Saccharomyces cerevisiae S288C: one gene and its partners. Changing the gene in region 2 together with the main gene of any one other region gives a genetic interaction. Each region holds a gene or a part of one and is shown on either strand. Other genes may lie near its edges.

Region 1 (6,704 bases), on a different chromosome or scaffold from region 2:
TTCAATTGAAAGTCAAGAGAACAATAATGATGAAAGAGGGACTATGGCGGTCGCCGGGGATAACGAGCATCATGCGCCATTTGTTAAGTCTAGATTTTACTGGATTACTGCATTATTACTAATAAGCATGTATACCTTGGCGTTGTCTGTCCAGTCATTTGCACTGGTTCTTTCATTTGTAGGGGCTACAGGTTCAACGTCTATTTCATTCACTTTACCTGGATTATTAGGTTACAAATTAATAGGCTTGGATTCTTTGGCTATTGGGAAGATGATTCCACCAAAAGATAGATTTTACAAAAGGTGCAGCTTATTGCTAGTCTTCTACGGACTATCTGTGATGTTTTTGTCATTGTATGTAACTGTATTCAACCGTTCAGATGAAGCCTAAATGGACCAATAGTCATGCAAGAGAAGTATAAAACAGTATATAGTAAATAGTAAATAGAATCAGAGACAGCAGACTCAAAGTTTTATGCTTAACGCGATCATCGACTAGTTTAATACTTTATTCTATGGCACTTACAAAAAGGTATTACCCTGCTAAACAATAAAGATCCCTGAAAAAATGGAGCAGGCTCAGAGAATGTGACTTCATGCGCTTTAGTGGTAAAAATACTGCCTAAATAGTCCCTAAAAAAAAAAGAATAAAAAATAACTCCGAAGCGGGGAGTCGAACCCCGGTCTCCACGGTGAGAACGTGATGTGATAGCCGTTACACTACATCGGATTTGATTAGCTTGATTTGAATAGAAAAACATGTTACCATATCAGTAAATATGAATGATCTTTATTTATATATATATGTCCGGAAAATTGTAGGAATAAAAACCTGTTGGAGTAAAAATCAACCATCATCTATCAACTAGTAGTTACACTATCAATATATTATCATATACGGTGTTAAATGGTGACGCAAGTTATGAGAAGCTGTCATTGAAGTTGGAGGAAGCTGAAATGCAAGGATTGATAATGTAATAGGATAATGAAACATATAAAACGGAATAAGGAATAAAACGGAATGAGGAATAATCTTAATATTAGTATGTAGAAATACAGATTCCATTTTGAGGATTCCTAAATCCTCGAGGAAAACTTCTAGTATATATACTGTATACATAATATTATAGCCTTTATCAACAATGGAATCCCAACAATTATCTCAAAATTCACCCATTTCTCTCTTATATACCATAAGAATATACAGTATTTATCCCTAATTATTACTGCCTTTCAATTACTGTTCATTGACAACTGGGAACAAATAAGCAAGCCGTATTAATAACCACGGTAATTACTGTTGGAACGAGAGTAATTAATAGTGACATGAGTTGCTATGGTAACAATCTAATGCTTACATCGTATATTAATGTACAACTCGTATACGTTTAAGTGTGATTGCGCCTATTGCAGAAGGAATGTTAAACGAGAAGCTCAGACAATACTGAAGCTGTGTTAAAGACCTATTAGTTGAACATGTTATGGTAGGTACATATATGAGGAATATGAGTCGTCACATCAATGTATAGTAACTACCGGAATCACTATTATATTGGTCATAATTAATATGACCAATCGGCGTGTGTTTTATATACCTCTCTTATTTAGTATAAGAAGATCAGTACTCACTTCTTCATTAATACTAATTTTTAACCTCTAATTATCAACAATTACATATAATTATATGTTCTGTTATGGTTTTCTGTACTATCGAGGAGAACTTACAGTATACCCAATATATCCATAGATTTGCTTTTAAAAAAATGCAATTTACATTATTATTTGAAGATTCACCTGTGTTTCTAAACACGAAATTAAAAAACGTCAGTAATTCATATCGTTCTTAATAATTATTTCTCTCTGCGTTTTTATACCCTGTCACCCACTCTCCCACTACAATGTTAATCTTTACGCATCAGCTTCCGGAGACTATTAACATTTTTAATCAATTCAGCCGATGTTATAATCTGCTTCATTTTCCGAAGATCATATGTGATAATGGCACGAAAATATCGAACGCTAGACAGTGTGCAGTAGTCCATTTTTGTTTCAATCGCAATTAAATGCTATCCAGATTCAAGATACTATCGAAAAAACTACAGTTGTTAAACCTCGTCACCGCCTGACGATGATTTGTTTGCAAAAGAATCCTCATACACATCAAGAGGCGCACTATGTGATTCTAAATGGTCCCCGTAAAAGGCGAATAACTTCATATTAAGAATTGCATTAAGTTGCCAAAAGAATAGCTCTAAGAGTCTGTTTAGATCAACAGTCTGATCAGTTTTAAAGAACTTATTAATCTTTACCAACGAATAAACCCCAAAACAGAACGTTCCTAGACATAGGAGTGAATGTTTGAATTTGAACCACTTGGGGTGGTGAGCGTTTGCATTACAGCGAGAGCACGAAAATTTCGAGCACCGTTTTGTTTTCCTTTTGAAGTAGTGCTTCCCAAAGTTACCATCTTCTAGCAGTAGGAGTTGGTGCGTAGCAAAAATAAACAGTGATATCAAATCAAAGACAAGTTGTACCTTCAAAAACTTTGCAACTTTTGGATGCTGCTTCTTTAAAGGATGCAATGGCGGAATTAGAAATGTGTCAACTATATAGACGATATCGGCAACTCTTGATAATTTTTTAACCATTATAAAAAATCTAGATCGGGGTACTTCAGTTTGGTCTATTGCGACACTCGATTCCAATTCCCTCGTACGTTGCATTCCCAAATTTAAGAATGGATTCTTCTCATTATTCACTTTTCTAAGAGGGAAAGAATAATAATCCAAGGATGAAGATCATCTTAAGTACCTCTTATCGTTGTGATAAGAGAAGAAAAAGGGTTCTTGGAAATTAGCAAAACAGAAAAAAAAAAACCGAAATAAAATTATCTAGAATAATCTGCATCGGCTTCAGGTTAAAATCTACCACGTAATAAAAGTAGTATTTCAGGGAAATGTTATATATTTATATATTTATGTGTCTACATATTAGAGTATGAGTTAAAATGTTCATTGTATTTATTAGAAAATAGTGGTGAGCGTAAGGGATTTTCACTATGAACGTGCAAGGGACTAATGCAAATAATAACAAAAAAAGAAACTAACCAAATGTAAAAATGGTTCAGGAATGGCACTTAAAACAGATATCATCTATCACTTAGTTATAAGTCAGTTGGTATTTCACCTTCCTTTTTGTCTTCGCGTATTTGGCAAAGCTGGTAATGCGGCTCTTTTGACAATGCATCAGCTTCAACTACCAGAACCTATTAATTCTGTAGCGTATACCAAAATAGTACAGAAAATGTTGCACCAGTTCCAAAATCCCCATGAATCTACTATAATTTCTGGTTGATCTACGCCAAACCACTTTTCACTGCAACCCCATATGCACAGGTCTTTCTTTAGCTCACCTGAATATTGTAAAATCAGGTGAGTATACATAGCAATTAATATGCAAGGACTGTACCAATACAATCCCTTCATGATCCTGCGACTCTTGCGCAACTGTTTGTCATTTTTTCTTTGTAATGCTGGAATAATCCTCGTTGCCGAGTAAAACATCAGAACTCTAAAGCATAAATTGATTACTATAGCTGGGGAAACTGATTCGCTTGCCATCTTAATTGTAACTTGACAAAATTCATTAATGGATAGCGGAACACTAAAGGTGAAATTCTTGAAAAATTTCCAAAATGGTTTAGATATCAAGGATACTTTTTCGAATGATAGAATGCTAATGAGTTTATCATGAAAATCACCGGTTTTCTTTCTTCCTCTAGGAATAAAGGACCCCCATAACACCTCTGCATTTTTCAATATGACATTATGAAAGTAGCACAAAAGATTGTCAGCTGTGGGCAGATTTCTTTGATGTTTCTGCCAGACGTCTTTGAACAAATTTAAAATTTCATCAGTCGCGGTAGTAGCTAATTTGGGGGAAATTTCATAAATACAACGAACAATATACGCAAAAAATAAAGAGCTCTCTATGACGGATCCTTTTTGACTCACAATACCATACAACCCCAGTCCACATACCATAGACAAAACAAGTCCTAATAAGGACGCCGTTTGGATGGATAACGGCCATATGGGGGTGACATAAATCCGATACAAATAGTACAGCGATGCGGTAATCACACCTCCGGAGGTTAACAATGAGGAAATAATCCACGTGTTTGAATTCAAGTCATTTGATAACCATCTATTAGTTTCCCCGACGGCCTGAATGGCTAAAATAGTGAAAAAACCTTCCGATAGAGTAAAAAAAGGTGTGGACTTGGTAAGCACGAATTGCCACGGTTGTACAACAAATCGATAGTAGTAATAATATAAGACGTAGTTAATTTGATTGGAATTCAAGCTATTTTTCAAAGCTTCCAGGAACGACTCCGACTCATTATATTTATTTTTCAGAACGTTTCCCAACTCATCATTAGAAAATCCAGACAAAAACAGGTATAGCAAAGATGCAATGATAAAATGTTGTGAGTAATACAGACAGTTGGTAAAAAAAATGTATAGTCTTCCTCCATGTCGTCTTGCCAACACGTTAAGAGTCGTAGTTATGAAATATAAAGTGAACAGTGTCACCGTGAAGGAAAGCCCGCATTCCAAACCACCAACTTTAAACGAGATTGGAATTGAAAGTAGTGTGAATAACAGATAGAAACATGCTGCGCAGATTCGTCCACTCTGCATGAAGCTTTTGGACAAACTGGTCATCGTTGCCTAATCTTTAGCGTGATCGGCCACAAACAGCACCTCTCTAATAGATCTAAGCAATTACGCGATGGGCTGAGGGGAGCAAAACGGAAAAAGAAGCTTCACGAATACTATAAGATCCACCAACACTTTACGCACAGCCCTTCCAGTATCACTACACCTCGATCCTTTACCTATGTTCATCTTCTCATCAATCATCTCTCCGAAACCAGTAACCGCTCCAGTCCCTTGCTTCGCTTCAAGCTGATGCGATTCCTCGTGTACCATGATCTGAAAAATTTTTCCTTCGCAATACTACTATAATTTAGCTCATCGCATATTTTGCAATAATATAATACAGGGAATAAACTGCATTGGTTCAGTGAGACGGTGGTATAATTGCGAAGTGACCAAATTGTAATGAGTGACAGTTCTGTGAGGGAAAAGAATGATAATTTCCGTGGCTATCGGAAAAGAGGAAGACAAGAACTGAGGAAGATTAAAAGATCTTCTGCCAGAACTGAAGGCGGAAGCACAGAAACATTAGAGGACGTAGCAGAAGATATTGACCATAGATCCGATGAGGATGAAGTGTCCGATGTCGACAGTGGCGATGATTTCGATATTGAGGATGAAGAGGGTAAAAAGGAAAAAGTTTATGACGCTTTATTGACGATTCTCAAATCTGAACATCCAGAGCCAAAAAGAAGAAGGCGAGAGGCTGACGAGAGTAACAAAGCTCCTGCCGAAGTTGGGGAGGATGAGCACGAAAATACAGAACATGGACCAGTGGATGATCAATTGGAGATAGAGAATGGCCTTTTGGGTAATCACGAGGATGATAACGACGATGACAGCAGTGGAGACGAAAAAGATATAGACAGTGAAGATGAGCAAGATCCTTTCGAGTCTCATTTCAACCAAGTTCCGGAGAAATTCGTTGATAAGTTGTCGAATGCTTTCAAGACCAAAAGTGTAAAATACAAATCCGTAAAGGGCTCACTAAGTGACAGTGAATCATATATATATGCTAAACCGGTAGTAATTGGTGAGGAAGCATTGGTGGAAAGTCCGTACAGGTCATCATCTATATATTCATACTTTTTGAAACAAAGGCTAAAAGTGCAAAATGGACTATTGGATAAAAAAACTGATCCATTGACTGCTTTGCAAAAAAAATTAGTAGACCCCATGTTTCAGTATAAAGACATATTATACGAGTATGACTCCTACGAAAAGGACGAAGACGAGTACAGAGATTTATATGCTTTGCATGTTTTGAATCACATCTACAAGACAAGAGATAGAATCTTGAAAAATAATCAAAGATTACAGGATAACCCAGACACTGAACACCTAGATCAAGGTTTTACAAGACCAAAAGTGTTAATTGTAGTCCCTACTAGAGAGGTGGCGTACCGCGTTGTAGATAAGATAATTTCAAAATCTGGTATAGATCAGGTTGACAAGAAGGGAAAGTTCTACGACCAATTCCGTGACGACTCCTTACCTCCAAAGTCCAAACCAAAATCTTTCCAACACATATTTAGGGGGAACACCAACGATTTTTTTGTTGTCGGTCTCAAATTCACAAGAAAGGCTATAAAACTTTATAGCAATTTTTACCAGTCTGACATTATTGTATGTTCGCCATTGGGTATTCAAATGATCTTAGAAAATACAGATAAAAAAAAGAGGCAGGACGATTTTTTGTCCTCAATAGAGTTGATGGTGATTGATCAATTACATTCAATAGAATACCAGAACATATCTCATATTTTCACCATCTTTGACCATCTTAACAAAATCCCGGATCAACAACATGAAGCTGACTTTAGCAGAATTCGGATGTGGTACATTAATGAACAAGCTAAGCTCTTCAGACAGACAATGGTATTCACAAAATACATCTCGCCAGCGGCTAATTCATTAATCAATGGTAGATGCCGTAACATGGCAGGAAGATGGAAGAATCACAAGGTAATAGGATCAGAAAAC
Region 2 (6,154 bases):
TGAGCTATTTTCTTTGTGCATTATATGAAATTCATGTCCGTATAGTTTGTTTTTTTAGCAGAAGACAATATAAAATGGAAAGAGTATGGTTTGCAAAATTAACAAATAAAGGAACTATTAAAATCGGGTATATCTCATTTATACTTCTAAGTTTGCTATGTCAATCTCTGATTGGGCTGGTTAATGCTGATTTTAATTATGAAGGCTGTTACAGTGCCGCGGATATCCAGTCTGCTGGACTGTCTCTGAAAAACTCATACATATATCAATCAGTGTCATACTGTCAAAACCAGTGCCCTGAGTCAGCAGTAGTAGCATTATTTAACGGGTCAGATTGTTACTGCGGTAATTCGGTAAGTTTTCTGACTTCTTTGACGAAATCAACAGATTCAAACTGTGGAACTAAATGCTCTGGCTGGCCTTACCAAATGTGTGGAGGGTCATCGTACATGAACGTGTATGTAAATGCTGAAACTTTTGTTTCATCGGTTGAATCTTCCTCTTCCAAAGAAGGGTCTAGCACTTCCTATATGCCCTCAACAACTTCTTCATTGTCCTCCGCCCAAATTTCTTCAACTACTAGGAGAACGTCAACAGATATGAAAAGTTCTGAAATGATAGCCACGACAGTTTCTACCACTTCAACAACCTCTTCCTCGACTTCCTCTACTACCTCTTCTACCACCTCTTCTACCACCTCTTCTACCACCTCTTCTACTACCTCTTCCTCGACTTCCTCTACTACCTCTTCTACCACCTCTTCTACCACCTCTTCTACCACCTCTTCTACCACCTCTTCTACTACCTCTTCTACTACCTCCTCTACTACCTCCTCTACTACCTCTATCTTTTCTGTTACGTCTAGCTCCTCATCCATTACATTGTCCTCATCTGAGCATACCACAGTCGATAGCCGTACTTCTTCACCCTCTTCCACCTTGGTGCCAGTGTCCTCGAGTAGCAGCACACTATCAACTCCAAAAGTGACCTCAATGACCCCTAGTACGTCATCAACGATACCAATAGTTACCTCAGTGGAACTAGTGACTAGTGTGGTTACAAAAGCGATCGTGAGTACTTCTGATCAACATCAGGAAACAATATTTGTTACGAGGACATCCGTGGTTGAACGATCTTCTGAGGTAGCTACTGCTACTGCTGCCGCCTCAAATAATAGATCTAATTCGACTTCGAAGCAGCGTCTGAGTGGTGGAGCCATTGCCGGTATTGTTATTGGTGTTGTGTTTGGCGTAATTTTTATTATTTTGATTCTATTGTTCCTGATATGGAGGAGACGGAAATCGCACGACCAATTAGACTTGGAGGAAACGAAACATTATCAGCCCTATTCGTTCGGTGATGAGGATGCAAATCCAATAGGACCGCCTCCCTCCTCTGGTACGACAAATTGGATGAGACATTCAAGGGGTAATACAGCGGGTTCTATCGGTACAAGTAATATGTATGGTTTTTCTATGAGTAATGGTGCAAATTATAGTAGTCCTAGTTCAAACACCAGTGGAAGCATCATAAACAACTTGGCTGGCTTACAAGATGCTACGGTTCAGAAACAGAACCTTCCATCGACAGTTTTTGAAGAGGCAAATACTTTGAATAGTGCAAATGAAAGGTTCAGTGCCAATTCTTTACCCGACATGATGATGAGCGGACCATTGCAAGTGGTAAACCCTGATAATCCTGATAATCCTGAATTATCTAGTACCGTATCTCATAATCGAGCCTGAAAAACTCGCATAAACTCTCAACATTAATGGTAATCAACTGGTTCTGCTGGACGGAGCCATTCTAAATCATTAACTTTATAATATCATGTTTTATACCCTAATATTTAAACAATTTACTGCTTTTGGCACTTCAACTGTTAGAAAAAGAACAATAATATTTAGTATTTAGTTTCATTTTTAAATTTTCTGATTCACTTCATTTGCAGCTTCTAATGATGTTTGTGGTACAAAAATATAAACAATTTTAAAATATTAAAAAAAAATGCTTCCAATCGGATTTGAACCGATGATCTCCACATTACTAGTGTGGCGCCTTACCAACTTGGCCATAGAAGCTAAATCTCTGAAAGCTGCGCTCTTCAAAGGCGAACCAAGCAAGATAAATTAATATTATTATGTAAAACTATCGTTTTCCTTTTGTTGATTCCTATATCCCGGAGAAGAACTACTAATTATCAAATTATTCACCAAATGATCAAATTTAGCAGCGTAGTGAGTGCCACTATGTAGATGTTGGAATAAAAACCAACTATCGTCTATCAACTAGTAGTCATACTATCAATATATTATCATATACGGTGTTAGATAGTGACATAAGTTATTATAGAAGCTGTCACCGAAGTTAGAGGAAGCTGAAATGCAAGGATCGATAATGTAATAGGATAATGAAACATATGAAATGGAATGAGGAATAATCGTAATATTGGTACATAGAAATATAGATTCCATTATGGGGATTCCTATATCATCGAGGAGAACTTCTAGTACATTCTGTATACCTAATATTATAGCCTTTATCAACGATGGAATCCCAACAATTATTTCAAAATTCACCCATTTCTCAGTAGAATTATTAATATTGGGGAATATATGGGTTTCTATGGTTCGATAGTACTGGCGCACATTCAGCATACAAATCCTACTACCTTGGTAAAGACCGAAATGCCAACAGCCGTCATTAAATCACGATATAATAGAGCATATTTCAAGTTATATAGATCCATATATCAAGGGTTTACCATACGCTCTTCCAAAACTTGTAAAGCTAACTGTCTTCGTCTTTCTTCTACAGTCATAATTTTTTTGGCGCCTCTACTTTCTGCGATGGTGTTCCCAATATCTATATCAATATCATGAAAAGGTTTAATGACTTTAAATTTTACAACAACTACATTATAAATGAAATTGAAAATCGGCCTCAAAATCGGCTTAATTAGATCAGGAAAGAAGTAAATCAATTGAAAAGTATCAGATGCATCGCCGACCAATATTTCCTGACCACCTTGAGAATTAGTTGTTGGCAAAGAGGGACAATTCAAGGGTGCAAGTTTCTGGAAAAACCTCAAGTACGACCAACTGGCAAAAAAGGTAACCCAAATGGAGAACAATTGAGCAAAATGATGAAACCATATTATTTGGGTTACCGTCATTGTAAACATTACAAAAATGGGTAGTAATTTGAACCTAAAGTTTTTGGCCAAAAATTGAGGTGTCTTCAGATGGATTATAGTTGTTTCAGGCAATAACTGTCTATAAATGATAGGGAAACCGATTAAAATTGTGTAGTTCCCGTCTAAGGGAATATCCAGCCTTACCTTATTAGAGAAAAAAGATACTAACAAAGTCAGCATGATGATCAGAACGTTTGTAAGAGAACCTAAAACTATGATAAATTTGAACATTTCTTTGGAAGAGTTCCAATTGCGTTCAATGAAGGATCCACCAATGATCAAATTCAATAAGTTCACTACCACCTTCCAAGCTTTAGTGTCGATGAAGTTGGATAGAACTAATGAGGTGGGGTACCTCCAAATCTGCGAAGGTACCATTTGCAAAAGCGGCGAAGTAATCAAGTTGTAGTCCAAGTTAGGGTCTTCAAGAACTAGCTTGTTGTACAAGGATCTCCTTATACAGAAAAGGGTTGCAGTTAAGCATATATAAGTGACTGTAATAAATTTAGTAGCATCAGGAATCTTATTGATATTTAAAAATGAATCCGGGATATTCAATTCTAGGAACCTCGAACTATATTGCATTATAGTGAACAAATATCTTTGTTATAAATAGATTAGTCGTCTTCTTTTTCTTGGCTTGGTTTGTATGAGCTTGTTACGTATCAAACAAAATATTCACATGTTTTTCTCACCTTAAAGACAGAGGCGCGATTGCGTTTGCGAAATTCCAATGCCAACAAGATAAGCTTGACGAAGGAGTTAAGAGGGCGGCTTGAACTAAAAAGAGAAAAGCAATAATGACGAACGATATTAAGGAGATACAAACAATACAGCCGGGATTGTCCGAGATTAAGGAGATAAAGGGTGAACTGGCTAATGTGAAGAAAAGGAAACGCAGGTCTAAGAAGATTAATAAATTGACTGATGGTCAAATACGTATAAATCATGTTTCGTCTGAAAAAAAAAGGAGAGAATTGGAAAGAGCTATATTTGACGAACTGGTAGCAGTAGTACCTGACCTGCAACCCCAGGAAAGTCGGTCAGAACTAATCATATACCTGAAAAGCTTGAGTTACTTAAGTTGGTTGTATGAAAGGAATGAAAAGCTGAGAAAACAAATCATAGCTAAGCATGAGGCAAAAACCGGCAGCAGCAGCAGCAGCGATCCCGTACAAGAACAAAATGGAAACATTCGGGATTTAGTACCGAAGGAGTTAATTTGGGAGCTGGGTGATGGACAGAGTGGTCAGTGATTCAAGGAGTAGGGTAAAGTAAGTAATATAAGCGAAGAAATTCTTCCCATACCTTTTCTTCACTTTGCAGAGGGGAGTGGTGCATATCCCACAAAGAAAAGTAGCAACAACAATGATATATATACGTTACTACTAATGCTTTCCTTCATCGAAAGTGTGCCGAAGTATTTATTTAATCTTTTAGTGTTCAACTTACTATAATGTGATACTTTTTCAATATTGTTTGCCGTTGAAGCGATAGTGCTTTATGTCATTTTATCTTTCTTTTACATTGTTTTATTTTAGAGCTAAAATTGAACATCAGTTTGCAAGAAGTCAGTTGGTTGGCCTTTGCTATTAAGAGACCATAATGTTATAGTGATTGAGATCAGTTTCACCAACTAATAACAATTAACCCGGGCGGTTAGTGTAGTGGTTATCATCCCACCCTTCCAAGGTGGGGACACGGGTTCGATTCTCGTACCGCTCATATTTTTACTTTCTTATCAAACTTTTTTTCCTCCGGGACGTGAAATAACCGCCGAGGTTATTCTCGGAGCATTCTTTTTTGTGGCTTTTGATCATCCATCATCATCATCATCATCATTATTACTACTACTACTACTACTACTATTATTATTATTATTATTATTATTATTAGTATTATTATTATTATATTGATTAGTTATTAGATAGATACAATTAAGAAAAATTTATGTAAAAGGTCAGAATAAACAGCATTTTTCTCCTCTTTTTTTATTTTTAAAAAAAGAAAAAGAAACTTCTAGTAAAGTGCAGCACATTCAAGTGTGATTAGTTGAAAATGGAAGCAATTTTACGGTTCAATTTCTTCAAGAAACCGCCTTCCTTCTTGGTTTCCTTCTTCTCACTGACGGCGGCGGAAGCTTGCTTCTTAGTTTCTTCAACTTTGTTGGCAGCTTCGGTCTTCTTTTGTTCGACACCATCAGCAATGTTTTGTTCTTCCTTCTTCACCTGTTCAGCTTCTGGAGTAGCTTCATTTTTTAGGTTGTCGATAGAAGCTTCAGCTTGTTCCTTTACTTCTTGGCCCTTGTTTTGCAAAGATTCTTTGGTTTCTTCCAACTTTTGTTGGACATCTTGGGCGGCAGTTTCAGCTTTGTTTTGAATTTCAGACATTATTAATTGATATAAACGTAGTTTTGTATGTTTCTTTGATTTGAACTTTTAAGTATACAGAGAAAAAAACCGATCAAAGAAAACTAAAGTATAATGAGGTTAAAAACGAAAGTAATAAAGTAGAAAGGCTATCAAGCAAACTGAGATGATCTTCGACGTAAAAACTCGCTCTATATATATACGCCATATAAGCCCATCGGCGATGGGGGACAACACGAAGAAACAAGAGAAGAGGAGAACCGCACAGAAAGCAGCAGAAACAGAGCAAACCAGCATTAACTAAAGATGATAAAAATAAAATTAGGTAAGAAACCTTAATTGGATATACAAAAATACACTGGAGGCACAAATCGCCATCGATATAAAACACGATAAAGCCCTGGTGCACCCATAAACCACACGTTTAACTATTTGGGTCGGGGCACGACGAAATCTAGGGATAGGCACCCGGACCGTCGGGGCAATACTAGGCGCACACCGCGCTCGTGAAGCAGACCTCCCGGCGAGTTTAGCTGCGCCACGTACTGCTCTAACGCGAGAGACTCCTGAAACACAGGTCTAGAAAGAA
Region 3 (6,068 bases), on a different chromosome or scaffold from region 2:
AACCAGAACGGTACAGAATTTTTAATGAGGATGTTTTTTTGATAAAGGTTGAAATATTTCCTTGTTTGCATATTATTTTTAAGTACAAGCCATGTAGTTTTTATCAATTCTACCACGACTATGCTTAAGTTTTTATCATTTATTAAGGTCTGTAAATGCACCTTGGCATCAATTTGATTATTGATGTAGTTGGTGATTGATGTCTCTAGGATTTTAGTAAACGATGTTTGTTTCTCTAGAATTTCCTTTGGCGATTGATCTAAGGAATTCTTAAAAGAATGTCTTTTCAACATACAAAGGTACTCCGTCATAAGTAATATGTCGTTGGGCCAAATCTTTAAATAACGCGATACTGTCTCATTGAATATGTTATTGAATAAGGTATTATTTGACCGATATTTTCTTTTCAAAAACCTAAGAAAATCATACCTCAAAGTTTTGAAATCCAGTGGTAAGAACGTATTGGCTTTTTGGTATATATCCACTACCACTTCATCGGATATATTTTTCTTTGTTAGCCACTTAATATACATCATCCACGTATTTTCATGGTAAAGACAAGGAATCAAACATCTGTCAAAAACGGACATTACGAATTCTTTATCCAAGGATTTTGAAGGATCCGTCACAAATTTTAAATATCGCGACCAATTTTCCAAATCATCATTTAACACTTGGCCCAGGTTGAAGAAGGGCTGTTTGATTTTCGATTCGAACTGCCAAATTTCATTTACTGTTGTTTGTGTTTTTCGTAAAACTATATCAATATTCCTTGTTGTCTTCAAATTTTTTTCATTTAAAAACTTCTTGTAAGATGTGAAAAACCGCGCATACTGATGTAGAGGAACTTCAATAATGTACTCGTATATTCTTTGAACGTTATGCCAATTCTTCTGCCCAACTTCAAATTCTATAAACTTGTCCCAAAAAGGGTGTGATAGAAACTGCTTGCCAATAAGATCCTTTGCAATTTCAAAATTATTCCTAATAAAATCCGTTTCGTTCGGGTTATTAACACACAACACATTCAAATAATCACACCATAACTCCAGAGAAGTTGGGAACCATTTGACCGAGGTGGCCAGAACAGCAATCGATTTCTTGAGACCAAATAACTGGTACTCAATAGTAGCAAACCTCTTCCAAAATCCAAACAATAAAGGGTACTTACGCAATATTTGCCATAAAATAGTTTCCAAGGCCAATTTGATTGAATCATTTGGATTGCCATATTTAACCACTGTTTGCTCTATAACATCTACCATTTGGGTCAACGAAGAAATATCTGACCAGTCTAAACCACGATATGCTTGTACTAATGCTGTGTTGTCTTGAAGGAACTGGGTGTCCAAACCTCGAAGGGCATCAGGCCTAGGCTCAATATCTTCTATTGTAAAATTTGTTTCATCTGGCATAACGAAAGACGGATTGCCAAGTATCCAATAGCAGTAAGGGCCAAAACTTTTTGTTGAACAAAGAAATGGCTGTGGAAGGCGCGTTTTTACTTTAGGACTTTGAAAACTTTCTTGCGTAAATTCTGTTTAAGTCTGAAACTTTCAACTCTGTATTAAATTTGTTTTAAGATGTGCGACGGCGACGTAAAATGGTAAAGAAAAAGAAAATGAATGATAGTAAATCATACTGAAAACGAATGATCTGAAACAATAAAAAAAGATATTTGTATATAAATTATTCAGCCATGCTCAAACCTCCAGATTAAAAATCAATAATGGATTAATTGAAAGCCCTGGAGCTGGCATTTTTTACCACATTGTCTAAGAGGGAAAGGAAAATGACAACAAAGCGCTAAATAATGGAATCAAGTTTACAAAAATTGAAATTCCAGGATATTGACATAAATCTTATTCCTACTGCGAAGTGGACCACAAAATTACAGTATATTCTATACACCTGGTGTCAGTCGATACTACATGTGGCCATGTTTTTTTCTGATATATACACGTGTATTAAATTACTGGCATTTAACACATGGTCGAACAATATCATCCAACCATTCTTGGAATTCCGTATTTCAAAATGGTTGTTTAGCGGATGCATATTATGCTCCTCATTAATATTAATTTGGGAGTTGGTAATTGGATTGAGAGTGTATAGGAAGAAAGAGATTACATCGAACTACATGAATGGCATTAGCAGATTAATAAATTGCTTGTTCAATTTCAAAAAGTATCAAATTTTCGAACTAATAGTGCTGACTGATGAGAAAAAATTCAGTAAGTGGTTATTCTTTTCATATTTTGAAATCAGTGGATGTTTGAGGCTATTGTTCGGTGACTCTCCAAGGCAAATAATCAACGGATTAACTTTGTGGTCAGTTTTACTGACAGTTTCGAATGAGACCAGTAGCGGAACCCATAGTACTCAAAGCCTAGGTAATTTAGATGACCTAAATGGAATAATAAACAAGATAAAACATATTGCTAAGACAAATTACGAAGAAAGTGTGATCTTGTCCTTCATGTTGTTCTCGTTTATCATATGGGTAATTTTAATAAGCAAATTAATTCTAAGCATAATAATATTCATCATTTTTATACGTCCGAGATTTTTGTCTAGTAAAAGGAAGGTTAAGGGGTATGAATTGAAACTACGAAAGTATGTGTCTAAAGTCATTGACGAGAATTTAAGTAGAACTGTCTACGAATTGGGAATATTGATAGATGATGAGGAAGAAGGGACCATATGTGGTGACAACAAAACGCAAAAAAAATTCGATTATGATAGTCCTGATTATGGCGACGAAAGCACAATACCGAGTTACTACTGCTACTCGGATGTAGAAACGTACGAAAGAGTATATACGCCCATAAAGGCATATTTCCCCCAGAAATACAAACATAAATACATATAAATGTAAACGAAGCTTTTTTTGACTGCAAAAATGCATTAAAAGTAAATCGATTCTCATTTATTGTATATATATTGTATATATTGTATGAAATATTTATAATGATAATGATAGTAACAAAAACCATTGATGGCTATAAACAATGAAACAAAAAAAAGCACTACGAAAACAGTAGATTCGTGAGGAATTGAAAAAAAGAGTGAAAAAACTAATAAAAACAACGAGAGTAAATAGGATAGTACAAAAATACTAGGAGTAAAAAAAGGCCCTCTAGTAGTAGTAATAGTAATAGTAATAGTAGTAGTACTAGTAGTAGTAGTAGTAGTTAAAGGCTATGGTTGAATAAAAAAAAAGTCTGGATGGTAGTGTTTTGGTTTTACAATTAATTAGATTTTTTCAAATCATTCTTTTTTATACCAAAAGTAGCATCATTGTTTGATGCTTTCTCTTTCTCATCAGCAATTTCTCTTCTGAGCTTAACTAGCGAGGCCAGTTTTTCATCTGGTTCATAAATACCAAACCTTCTAAACCTCCTAATTTCAGCATTCATCTTACCAATATCCCCGTCATACTCTTCCAAGATCTTCTTTAGATTGTTTTCCAGCTCCACAAAGTATTCTTCACTTAAAATGAATTTCCGTTCGGTTTTAATAGCCGTGAAAGTGGAAGCAGTGAACCTATCTTCTAGAGGACTTTGGAAACCCTCTCCAGCCACAAGTTGGATACCTGGTGCTGCAGCTTTCCTAATCGCGCCCGCTCTATAAGCAGCAACTGCACCACCCATCTTATCTATGACATAGTTGTAATAGTTAGTCTGGTAATCGTCGTAAGTAGCTCTCTTAGCACCAATCCAGCCCAGAGAGCGCAAACGTGTCTTTAAGTCAGTAGTGTTGTTATTGCCGCCAGAATTCTTAGCGCCGTTAGCAGAAGGAGAAGTTAAATCTCTCAAACTCCATAACTTGTAAGGATTGAAGCTGATGGGGTTGGCAATGCCTAATTTGAGGAATAAAGTAATTATGCCCACTTTGAAAATGTGCATGACAAAGAAAAGCCATTGAGCTACGAGACTAGAATAGTTTGCCTGAACTTCTTGTTCGAGTTTAGCGGCAATTTCAGGTAAATCCATGTGCTTGGCTACAGGAATCAATAGTCTAGACAATTGATTAGTCAAACAAATACCTGGGGTTGGAGAAATGGCGTCGGGCAAATCGGTATATAGCCAGGCCAACATAATAATGGTGTATACCCATATGTTTTTCTTGGATAGCTTCCACTCCGGAACAACTAGCTGACCAGGCCACAACTGGTCAATAAGCGGCTTGGAGTCATTCAACTCCTCGAGATTTTCTTCGTTATCAGCTTCATAATGGAACATCAAACAACCACCTTCGGACAGGTACCCTGGATGGATAGACTTATAGAACTTTACGGGCTCCTTCTCATGGAAAATTGATGGTCTCAGCACCATTAAGTCCGCCAAACCCGTCTTGGAAGGGAAAATCTTCTTAATTTTGTTATTTATGGTGTCTTCATTTGACACCTGAAACGCATAGTCGTGCTCGACATCTGCGTTAAGTCTAATGTAAATCTCCATGCTTGCAATCGCCCTCTATCAAAACAAAGTCCACCGATCTCTGCTGCCCCTCTCTAAAAAGGAAAACAATGGCACCATTAGCTTCTTTTCTCGCTTTTTTATAATATTTTCCATCATTAAATGTGGGGAGGTGGCAAAATGGCAGTAGTAAGCTTGTCGCCCCACACGGCGAAGATGCGTAAACTATTTGGGCAAGCTAGCACAACGATGGCTTATGACGGTTTAAAACGAGAGGCTGAAAGAAGAACAAGGAGTGACCATAACATAACAATGGTTGCTAAAGATGATGAGCTATACTTGTACCATCTTACTTTAAAGAAACAGACGAATTTCGTGCACTCCTGCATCGGACACTTCGTCGATCTGGAAGCAGGGTCCAAGCGTGAGCAGTCGCAATTGTGCGTAGCTACTGAGACGCATTTAGAACTTTATGATACTGCAGATGGGGAACTAAAGCTTATTGCCAAGTTTCAAAACCTGTTTGCGACGATAACCTCGATGAAGTCGCTGGATCTGCCGCATTCAGGGTCAAGGGCAAAAGCTTCCAACTGGCCCACTTTTCTAGCGCTAACTTCCGATTCTGGTAACCTAAGTATCGTGCAAATCATTATGCATGCAGGTGCTCTTAGACTTAAGACTTTAGTGAACCAGCCATTGACGAGGACCACCCTTCGAAGAGTCTCTCCCATATCATACATGGAAATTGACCCTAATGGGCGTTGTATCATTCTCTCATCTGTCGAACAAAATAAATTGTGTTTCCTCGTTGATTATGCTCAAAAATTGAGGATTTCGTCTCCATTGGAAATCATCAGACCCCATATGGTAACGCTGGATATGGCAGTTGTTGATGTAAATTTCAATAATCCATGTTTTGTTACCTTAGAAATCGACAATGCCGCTACTCAACTATCAGTACACTTGATATTTTATGTCCTCGAGTTGGGTTTGAATCACATCGTCAAGAAGGCAGATTATTTAGTTAACCCATCTGCCAATTTCGTACTGAGTTTGCCAGATCTATCGCGATATAATATAACAACTTCGCTAAGCGACAACAACTATGATGCTGACTATGATACCCTTTTCAACCCTTTTGTTGTCATAGGCTTCGAAAATCATATTCTGGTAAAGGATATGAACGGATTTTTCAGCCTGAAAGTGGAAATACCCAAAAGATCTATCACAAATAGCCGTCATAAAAATGTAACAATCATATCAGGCATAGTGCAGAAATTGAAAAATGATTTTTTCGTACTTTTACAATCTAACCATGGCGATCTTTTTAAGTTAACTGTAAGTCCAGACACTAATGATAGAAATAGACCTTTAGTTCAATTGTCCTACTTTGATACAATCCAAAATTCACACCAATTACACATTTTCAAAAACGGTTATCTTTTTGCACTATCTGAAATGAATAACAACTTTCTTTTCCAGTTTGAGAAACTTGGTGTAGAGAAAAATGATTTTTCTAATGTTTTAACCTCAAAAGATCCAAATAAGTCGCTAGTTTTCGAACCATCCATAAAGTTGCAGAATTTGAGCATATTATCGCAACAATTGAATTTGAACCCTTCAATAAAATCTCAAATTGTCAGTGAT

The links.
Region 1: mutations in INO4 (region 2) and ICE2 together harm fitness more than expected from each alone (negative genetic interaction), as found in Saccharomyces cerevisiae (3 studies listed by BioGRID).
Region 3: mutations in INO4 (region 2) and GSF2 together harm fitness more than expected from each alone (negative genetic interaction), as found in Saccharomyces cerevisiae (3 studies listed by BioGRID).

What each region holds. Positions count from the first base shown.
Region 1 is NC_001141.2:191,618-198,321, reverse strand, and holds ICE2 (Ice2p), read right to left. Parts: upstream 4,728-6,704; coding exon 3,252-4,727; downstream 1-3,251. Other genes in the region: AVT7 (Avt7p), read left to right, coding at 1-391; YIL089W (uncharacterized protein), read right to left, coding at 2,106-2,723; rRNA-binding ribosome biosynthesis protein UTP25, read left to right, coding at 5,127-6,704.
Region 2 is NC_001147.6:109,729-115,882, reverse strand, and holds INO4 (Ino4p), read left to right. Parts: upstream 1-3,996; coding exon 3,997-4,452; downstream 4,453-6,154. Other genes in the region: WSC3 (Wsc3p), read left to right, coding at 75-1,745; YOL107W (uncharacterized protein), read right to left, coding at 2,753-3,781; ZEO1 (Zeo1p), read right to left, coding at 5,245-5,586; SHR5 (Shr5p), read right to left, coding at 5,994-6,154. UniProt on the Saccharomyces cerevisiae protein: Transcriptional activator of phospholipid synthetic genes (such as INO1, CHO1/PSS, CHO2/PEM1, OPI3/PEM2, etc.).
Region 3 is NC_001145.3:176,821-182,888, reverse strand, and holds GSF2 (Gsf2p), read right to left. Parts: upstream 4,464-6,068; coding exon 3,252-4,463; downstream 1-3,251. Other genes in the region: PRP39 (Prp39p), read right to left, coding at 1-1,415; pheromone-regulated K(+) transporter PRM6, read left to right, coding at 1,814-2,872; U2 snRNP complex subunit RSE1, read left to right, coding at 4,584-6,068. UniProt on the Saccharomyces cerevisiae protein: May be involved in the secretion of hexose transporters from the endoplasmic reticulum. Involved in secretion of GAL2 and HXT1.